Linked DNA regions of Caenorhabditis elegans. The protein of the gene in region 2 interacts with the protein of the main gene of each other region in a pairwise test. Each region holds a gene or a part of one and is shown on either strand. Other genes may lie near its edges.

What was found.
Region 1: the proteins of htp-3 (region 2) and htp-1 interact in a two-hybrid assay, tested with the Caenorhabditis elegans proteins (2 studies listed by BioGRID).

Annotation. Positions count from the first base shown.
Region 1 is NC_003282.8:5,389,635-5,393,689, forward strand, and holds htp-1 (HORMA domain-containing protein), read right to left. Parts: upstream 1,924-4,055; coding exon 1,858-1,923; intron 1,812-1,857; coding exon 1,664-1,811; intron 1,618-1,663; coding exon 884-1,617; intron 836-883; coding exon 725-835; 3' UTR 555-724; downstream 1-554. Other genes in the region: ZK616.5 (uncharacterized protein), read left to right, coding at 2,538-2,611, 2,657-2,719, 2,765-2,843, 2,891-2,956, 3,007-3,147, 3,194-3,267, 3,312-3,408.
Region 2 is NC_003279.8:4,825,154-4,830,461, reverse strand, and holds htp-3 (HORMA domain-containing protein), read right to left. Parts: upstream 3,391-5,308; 5' UTR 3,384-3,390; coding exon 3,327-3,383; intron 3,277-3,326; coding exon 3,123-3,276; intron 3,074-3,122; coding exon 2,970-3,073; intron 2,926-2,969; coding exon 2,813-2,925; intron 2,768-2,812; coding exon 2,616-2,767; intron 2,567-2,615; coding exon 2,473-2,566; intron 2,426-2,472; coding exon 2,241-2,425; intron 2,197-2,240; coding exon 1,832-2,196; intron 1,782-1,831; coding exon 786-1,781; 3' UTR 666-785; downstream 1-665. Other genes in the region: F57C9.4 (C2H2-type domain-containing protein), read right to left, coding at 1-152, 206-322; tofu-4 (Twenty One u-rna (21U-RNA) biogenesis Fouled Up), read left to right, coding at 3,829-4,128, 4,174-4,347, 4,396-4,503, 4,548-4,780, 4,825-4,941, 4,987-5,293.

The DNA.
Region 1 (4,055 bases), on a different chromosome or scaffold from region 2:
ACATTTTTCTCTCGATAGGTCTCGCCACGATCCATTTTGTTGGCGACAGGCGCGACTGCTCTTTCTTAAATGAAAATTGAGATATTTGTTCGCTAGAATGTGATTTTTTAACAGAACATACAAATATATGGTTTTCGTGGCGAGACCAATTTAAAGTAGCACGCGCCTTTAAAACGACTACAATCAACCTGAATACTACATAAAATTGTTTCAGACACTGCAATAAAAAAGCTTTTTCTGATAAATTTTGTGACGTCTGACATTGAAAAGTAGAATAAACTGTGTTTTTTTTCAAAACTTGAAACCAACAATCAACAATCGCCACGTTCCCTTGCAAACCACATAAATTTTAGCAAAGAACCTTGAGAAAAGTTATCGAGGTCAGCATGAATGGTGAATACAAAGAGAATTTCGAGATTTACCGAAAGATACTCGGAGCGGTATCCAGCAGAAGAAGAAAAGAGAGAATCCTTTTTAGATTGGTCAATTGTTGAAAAATTCTGAAATGCACTGGAGTATCTTGAAAATGGAGTCATGGGAAACATGCTATTTAATAACACCAGTCGATTTATTTATGAATGACTGTAATTTGAATAAAAAAAACTAAGGATACAATAATGGAGCAGAAAGGAAACACTCAAGACAATAAAACATTTTACACGATGATATAGAACATGCCAAGTTACAGAATGAAGCTATAATCTATTGAAAGCTAGGAAAAAAATTATTTACAGGAACGAGAATATGGAGACGATCTGGTTTTGCTGCCATCGGCTCCTCTGCGAGTAGTTGGTCTCGTCTGGATAGGCGACATTTGTGCTTTCTCGAGAGACTCCTACAATTTTAAATTTTTTGTTTATATGTAAAAAACTAATAAACTAACAGTTATATCATCCACCGGAGAAGTCTCGTTTCCTCCTTGATCGTTGACAGATTCAGTAGTGGCCTGACTAAGACTTGTGTCACTGTCCTCCGAATTAAACGATTTATACAGCACATTCACTGGATTGAATCCATGCCTATCGGAAACTTTGTCCAGGTGTCGCTTGAGAGTCAACTCTGCTTCGTATGAATCGGACATCAACATGCTCCAGCATTCCATGTTTGCAGCGTGGCATCCTGGGCGCAAGTGACCAATGGTTGCCGATTGGATATCATCAGGAAGTGTGTAAAAAGTGGAAGAATCTTCGAAGCCATCAATGCGGAAATTGGATGGAGCATCGTTTGTGTACTCCAATCGAAAATTAGCCGTGAATTCTTCTGGCAACGGTTCGAGAACTTTTGTGCAGAGGAACTGAACACTGCGAACAATCGTCACCATTTGATCTCGTACGCTGTCGCCACCCTCGTATACAAGTTGAGCAAGCTTTGCGAAGTGAGGATCTTCCTGGCCATTCTTGTCAGTGCTCAGACGAGCAACCACGCCGCCATTCTCAAAATAAATGAACTTCATAGAGAAAACTTCGATGGCTTCAAGATCTCCTTCATTATTTGTGATCACGAGGGAGACTTCTTTCAGAAACCCATCCTTTGTTGCATCCCCAGCATTTCGAAGTAGTTGAGCGATTTGGTTAGACCGTGGGTTTCTGAAGCACAGCGTCATGCATTTCAGCTTTTCTGAAAAAGAACATTTACTATAAAATGTGATAAGAAAAACATTTACCAGTGATGTAATTCTTCGTGAAATATTCTTGTCCAAGAATGTTACGGTTCCTAAGAACAGCCGAAAACGCGACGTAGATTGCTCTGGTCATGAAATTGGATGATCGATCCGGGTCGCTGACAATCCTTGGGAAAAGTTTGGACCATTTCTAAAGATGAAAAAAATTACAATGGCCATAAAACCATGAAAAAAACCTTATCATCAATGGAATCCGCCGATTTGTTGAGCGATTCGTCGTAGATGGTTTCCAAGGGCGCCATCTGCAAAAAAACAGTCTCATTTTTAGGCAAGAGTTTGTAAATGTGAAATATAATATAATTCCTCGAGGAATACTATGCAAAGAAAGAAAAAACCCAATGACAAGCTTAAAATGATACACTAAAAAACGAAAAATTATTTTCGAAACTAGGAAACGATATTTGAATTTTAAAAAACACAGAAAATCGTCAATTTCGAAAGCCTAGGAAAGAATTTTAGGATTTCAAAAATGCAAATAAAATGCTAAATTAAAGGTACATCGGATTGGGTAAGTCCATTGGTCTCGCCACGCAATTACAAAAGCTCAAAACTATTCAAATAATTTTTGACTAAATGCAGCTTTTCCTTTTATTTTAAAGTAAATTTTTCATTCATTTCAAAACTGTCAACAAATTTGATTACTAGAGGTAATTTTAAAAAGTACTATTCTTTAAAAATACGCAAATGCAAGTGAAATTCGCTAACTCGTGGTGAGGCCTAAATTTAGTTTACTGACTGCTCCTTTGATTACTGTAACTTGTTTGCTATTTTTAAAACGGTCTGAATTCTCATTTTTGGACGAGTTTGCCTAAATTTTCTCCTTTCAAGCTCAAAAAACGTTTATCATTGTTTTCAGATGCCAAACTATCGAGGACGTCATCAAACGAGACAGAATTGGAGTTCTAAGCCAAGAGAAGAGCACTCCCCGAGGTATTTGAATAAAAAATGTCATTTTTTCGAGTACTTTCTTTTCAGCAAAGGCGCATACAGGGACAAAATCTGGAGCGGTCCAGTCAGTGAGGTCGCCAGGCAACAAACGTATGAAACTAATTTTTAAATGTTCCTAATTTACTTATTCTTCAGGGTGTACGACTGGGTGACTACAGGTGCTTATTCCCTTGGATCGCCAGACTCGTGGCCATCTTATCCGGACGAAATCATAGTGAGTGCTGTAGTACACCGAAAAAAAGTTAATTTTTCTTGTTTTAGCTGATGAACGAGTCCCGAAATGCTCAGACATCCCGCATGTCGCGTCGGTCGGCTACTCCCGGTCCAGTGAGTTTATTTTCTTCATATTTTCGTTATGAGACAAACCTTGGTTTCAGAGATTGTCACAAGATAGAAGGACAAGAACTACAGCACCCGCCGTTGCGCCGATTCCGTTTCAGAGGGCACAGCCTCGAGTAGAAGTGGAGAGACAAAGAATCGACGAGCCTGTCGCACAGGACCTGATTATCGATGATGGGGTACCAGAAAGTTTCATTGAACATTAGCTGTAATGTATTTTTGTAGAACGGTACCAACAATTCGAACGATTCGAGTATTTGTGGCTTTGTGGAGGAATCCGAGGAACTCGTATATCCACAGTGAGTATCTAAATCAATTAATTAACTGAAATTTATCATTCCAGGTGGGTTTACTATCTGTACCCATTGATTCCTACCGCGCCTAACTGCAACAACGAGAAGTCGTACAAAGAAGGTGGCAATTGGTACAACTCTCCATGAATGATCTCCCTCTCCAGCTTCTCTCAATCTGTCATATTTCTTATGCCTGAGTTGCTCCTCATTTTAAGAATGTATCATTCTCATATTATCTGTCATATTCTCACTCCCATCATGCCCGTAATCAAACCCCCGTCATTCATTTTTCTCTGTACCGGTTAAGAAGTTCTAACATTGTATTTTCCATGATTCTAAGTCAGGAGCTTTTTCCCCATTATTAATCCATAATACGATCGAAGGTTATTTACCATCGATGATTGGAAGGTTGAATTAATTTCACATTGTTTTCTATGAAACGTTCATCCGATCCTCATTGACCATTCGATCCTTTGTTATATTTTCCCATTTTTACTGTACCCATCACCTCATACGCATCCTTTTAGGCTAGAAGTCTGCATTAGCAGAATAACTTTTGAGCTTTCACCGAATGTCTGTCCCATGTCTGCTCTCTCTTTTCCTTTTTGTTTTTGTTTTCCTCTGGTCAATGTTTCAATTCCTTCTGGTTTTTTTGAATCACAATAAACATTCTCCAGAAAATTGTCTCGATTCTCACTTGTTGTGTTGAAAAATATTCACGGAAATCGTTCGGGCAGTAGGTTAGAATGCGGAATTCAAAATCCTGGAATAAAAAATAGTTATGAATCTGTTAC
Region 2 (5,308 bases):
TGTATTGTTTCAATCCGTGGTCCTAAAATCGATGGATCGCTTTTCCGTGCCGTGGAGATTTCTTTCAAAATTTCAATAAAACTGGAACACTCGTCAGAACTGATCGATGTATCTAGCAAAATTGTAGCATCGGAAGGAGACGTTATTCGAATCTGAAAATTAATTATTTTTATTTAAAAATCAATATATCTCCAATTAATCTCACTTTTTCAATACCCTCTTCATTATTGGTAACAGCTGATATGCGTAGAGAACATAGTCGACCGTTGAAAATGGAAAAATCACTCTCGTAGAGCACCCTCGAATCGATTAATGATGTCATTTATCCTGAAAAACGTTGATTTTTTTCAAAATGTGGCGAACTAAATAGAACCCAAAAAGAGAAATTCATTAAAAAAACACAATTCTTAAAAACTTTAGCTGGAATAAGAACAGAATGCCAAAGTGAAATCGATTAGAGTAAAGAGCGAACGGCCACTGAAAAAAGGGAAACAAGTGTATGTCACCGCGCTCCTTTGAGAAAGAAAACGGCGCTATGTTCAAAAAAGAACGCCAACGAAAGAATTCTGAAACGCTGGAAAATACTTGAATAGCTCTAAATATTTCATCACATGCAAGTAATATTTTGTATTTTAACAAATTCCCATCATCATCGGATATGAAAATTAATATTTAAAAAATTCATTCGAAAACTAAGGCATTTGTCCAACTATTAAAAAGGAAATCGAAGAAACAACAAAAAAATGGAACAGATTGATAATTGTACACGATTGTCCAGAAATCGTTCAGTTTCCTCTTCTACTTGGCATGTTCGGCGACTGGCCGTACCTCATTGCCTTTGGAGGGTTTGGTTTGAATTTCTTGGAAGTCGATTGGTTTTGAGTGGAGCTTTCGGTATCTTCCTGTGGATCTACGTCACTTAACGAACCAGCTACATCAAGAATACTCGAAACTCGGCCGTAGTGTCTCTCTGTGGCAATAGCTGGAGCGGCACCTGATGGATCTACGTCAGCGAACGAACCAGCTACATCGAGAATACTCGAAACTCGGCCGTAGTGTCTCTCCGCAGCAATAACTGAAGCTGCTCCTGCTGGTTGCTCCGTGACAACCGTTTGAGCTTCTTCAGACTGATGCTCCGTCACAATGATTGGAACGCTCTCCGATTGATGACCAGTAACATTAATTGGAGCTGCTTCTTCATGCTGCTCGGTGTCAATTGATAAGTCGGCAAGTCCCTCAACAGCAATTTCATTTTGAGCATCTTGAGCATCATTTTGAGCATCGTTCTCCTCAGCCCTTGCTACATCCAATATACTTGGTACACGACCGTAGATGGGACTTTCACGAACGTCTTCCTCCACTGTATCGTCAGTTGGCAGATCAGCGACGTCGAGAATACTCGACACTCGTCCATATTTTCTCTTCCGTGGTCTTTTATCCGGGATACTACCGTTCGCCAAATCTACCTGAGCCTCTTCCGAAACCGGATTTGCAACTGGGTCTGGTTTTTTCCTGTTAATAGAAGTATTTGAAACGCCATATCTTGCTGTTGAGCTCTCCTGCTTCTCAGATGTAGTATTATCTAGATCCGCAGCTTCCTCAGGTATTGCAGACTTTGATTCATTTCTCTTCTCGGGAGAGGTGATAATAGCATCAGAGTCAATTTGAAGAGAATTCTGAGCATCAGAGTCAATTTGAAGAGAATTCTGAGCATCATCATCATTTTGTTCTTCTGGCTGTTCATCGACTTCAACTGGAGGTACAAGCCGACGAGCACTTCTCTGTAAATTATTGAACTTAACATTTTTATTATAACAATAAAAATAATTACCCTTTTTGGGTTCACTATTGGTTCTTCTTCTTTCTGTTCGCATCGTTCATTGTTCTTCGTGGTGCGTTTACTGGAACGTCTCATCTGAGCTTTTGGCGCTTTTTGAGGTTGCTCTTTCACCGGGGACTCCACGGGAGAAGCCGGTTCCGTTGGAGTTATCGGGACAGCGGGAGCTCTCGTTGAACGTTTCTTTGCAGCTTTCACTATTGGAGAACGTTCCCTTTCAACAACCATTGGAACTTCATCATTATCAGCAATCAATACATTATATTCGGACTGCAGAACCATCATTTCACTGGCCATACTTGGATTACAACGAATTGATTCGTTTGCCACATCTTCGTCCATACGTACTTCTTGACGACCTATAAACATTAGAAAATTAATTTTTTTTCTCGACAAAACGCACCTGGTGAAAAATAGATTTCGTCAAGTTCAGGATTCTCAGCACAATTCATTGTGTTATCTCGAACAACTTCGATCGGTGTGATCGTTGAGTTGAGCAAATCATCTTCAAAATGAGAAACTTCCACTGGTGGACGAATGGCTGAAGGCTGTTCAACCATGAATTTCGAGGCATATGCGAATTGAAATCTGAATCAATTTAATTAAGAATTTGATGATTGAAATGACGAACAAACCCATTGCCGTGAGGAAAACTAACAGCACCAAGATTGATCTGCTCAGGATTCACAAAATCGTCGACTTGTTGAAATCCGGGAACGAATTCCGGTTCTAAAACAATAATTTATTTATGATTTAAATTAAATATTTTTAACCTTACCTCCTCTGTATGCTACTTTCATCGATGGAATGAGGCCTCTTGGTAGCGGACGGAGCAGGCTTAGAACATTTCTAAGCTCGCTGAACATCTTGCAAAACTGTTGAGCAGTATCATCCATGTTTAAATAATTCACCACAAATTTAGATTTACGCCTGGAAAAGAGTCAGTGAAATTTATATTTAGATAAATGATCTAACCCTCCGTATCCGATTTCGGCACTTGCAGATGTGGTTGAGTCATAGACAAAGGTCCAGACAAACGTTTCCACGGGATTCGTGTTTAGTGACTCTTCAACGACAATAGCGAGTTTCTGCAAACAATGAATTTTTACCACTTACGAGAGTAAAACTGTACCTGAAGGAGTTTCTGACGGATCGCGTCATGAGACGCCAAAAGCTTCGAAGACACACTCCGTCCTTCTGGAATGTCTTGTCGCAAAGTATATCCGCTGACATCTCCTATAAAATAATTCATGCTTAATTGCAAGTCAGATAGATAAAACCTCACCATAAACTTGAAAATCCTGGAAGTATTCCGCAGGAATAACTTTCCGTTCACGGAGAATTGTTGAGTTTGCAAGATAAACGCAGTTGGCCATCACTTCAAGAGAGCTTTTCGAATTTTCATCACCATTTTTCAATGTTTGCTCGTTGAATATAGCCTGAAAATTTTCGTTTTCTCGACAAAAAAAACTCTGTCAAATCTACTCACCCTGTCATCACTCGTCAGAGAGCCAGGGACAACAGAAGAGTCGAAGCTTTCGTCCATTTTGACACTTAAAATATTTTAAAACATTTTTTTTAATTAAAAACTAATTGAAAATGAGAAAAAACTGAAAAATAAATGAATAATTTGACATAAAATAACTAATTTCAACCGAAGTTTACCGTAACTCAGGTCAACATGTTGTGTTCTCGTGTCGAGACCCATGGAAGAAATGTCATGCACCTTTAAGTTTTTTCTTTTATATTTCAATTTTTTTCCGTTCATTTTCTACTTAAAATGCACTTTCAAGAGAATTTCTCATATTTTGAAGTTTTAAAATTGTAGTTTATTAAAATCTGAGCATATCTCTATGTATTTTGAGTCTAGAAACCGCTTTGAAATGTGCAAAGAACAGATGAAAGCACTTAAAATTTAAATAAACGTTTTTTACTTATTCATTTATTGTGTTTTTAAGCTTCTATATTTAATAATGAGACATTAATTTCAGATGAAACCGACGACGAGAAGCGCATCAAAAAGAGCAAATGCGGAATCTTCGGGAGTGAACCAGCCCGAGAAGAAATCACGAATTCCTGAAACAGAAATTGTAGAGGATCCGTTGGAGATCGAAGTACCGCCCGCATCGGCAGATGGCACTGACAACAAGAGTTTTTCAGAAAATGAATACGACGATGATCACAGTAGCAGCAGCGACGAGGAGAGTGATGATGAATACGTTGTGGAGACTCACAAGAGTTCGATGGTGGATGCTGCAGAAAGTTCCGAAGGCGAGCGACCGGATGAACGCGTATGCTGCCTTTTAAAAAATTTTTATCGATTTAACTTCTTTAAGATTGTCCGAGAATTAGAGCAGAAAATTGCTCGTGGGTTGAAGAACGACAGGATTCTCAAAAAGAAAAAGAAAGCGTTAGATGGGGAAGTCTCAGACACTGAAGACGTGGTTTGTGAGTACGAACCACAAGCGATGCCGAAGCAACGAAGAAGGCGACTGTATAGAAGAAAAATGGTGGGATTTTAATGCTAGTTGTTGAAATTTAGAAATGATTTCTTGCAGACCAGACCTCAAGGAGTCCCTAAAAGACGTCGCATCAAGAGACCGGACCTGGAACTTGCAGATGATTACACCTGTGACACTTTTGCTGAGCAAGGATTGACTCTGAAGGTGTGTAAGAATTTATAATTTAAATATTTGCAATAATTTTTCAGTCTTTGACAAGTGACATCAAACAAGACGATCCTGAAGTCGATTGGAAAGCAATGAGAAGGATGGGTATCGGAATCAGATCAACAAAAAGAGACGAAATCAATTCCGATGAGGATGAAGCGGATATTATTTCGCATTCATTTTCTTTCTACCAAACAAGAAACTCTAAAGAGCAAGTGGCACAGGCCGTCGAACTAAATATGAACCCTTTTTCGGAGAAGATCGCGAGCTACAAGTAATTGTTAAGAGAAATATCATGAATAAATATTATGTTTTCAGTGCTCCAAAGTCCGTTCATGGATACAGTCGATCTTCAATTCAAAATCAACATTCAGGATTTATTGACAAGAACGACATCAAATATCCGGACGAATTATTATGGCAGGAACCATTTACGTGAGTATTTTAAAACCATATATATTGATTAAGAATATTTTTCAGCCATCTCGTCTTCTTCCAATCCACATTCAATGCTCACGAGTCTTCCATCAAGTTCCTGAATAATGTCGCAAATTCAAAAAAGCAGGAAAGAGACTCCAAACTGATGAAGGAAATTCGCGAAAGGATTAAGCAGAAATCGCTCGGACATGTAGATGTTCCAATCGACTACACAAACGTGGAAAGTACATCGGAGCAGCCGTCGACTATTGATCAGTACAGCCTTCCTGACCTGACTAGTCAATGCGACGAGGGAACCATAAAGGAGGAAGAAGACTTCGACTATCTGATGGTAGACGCAGAATTCTAAAAGAATTTTTATCCG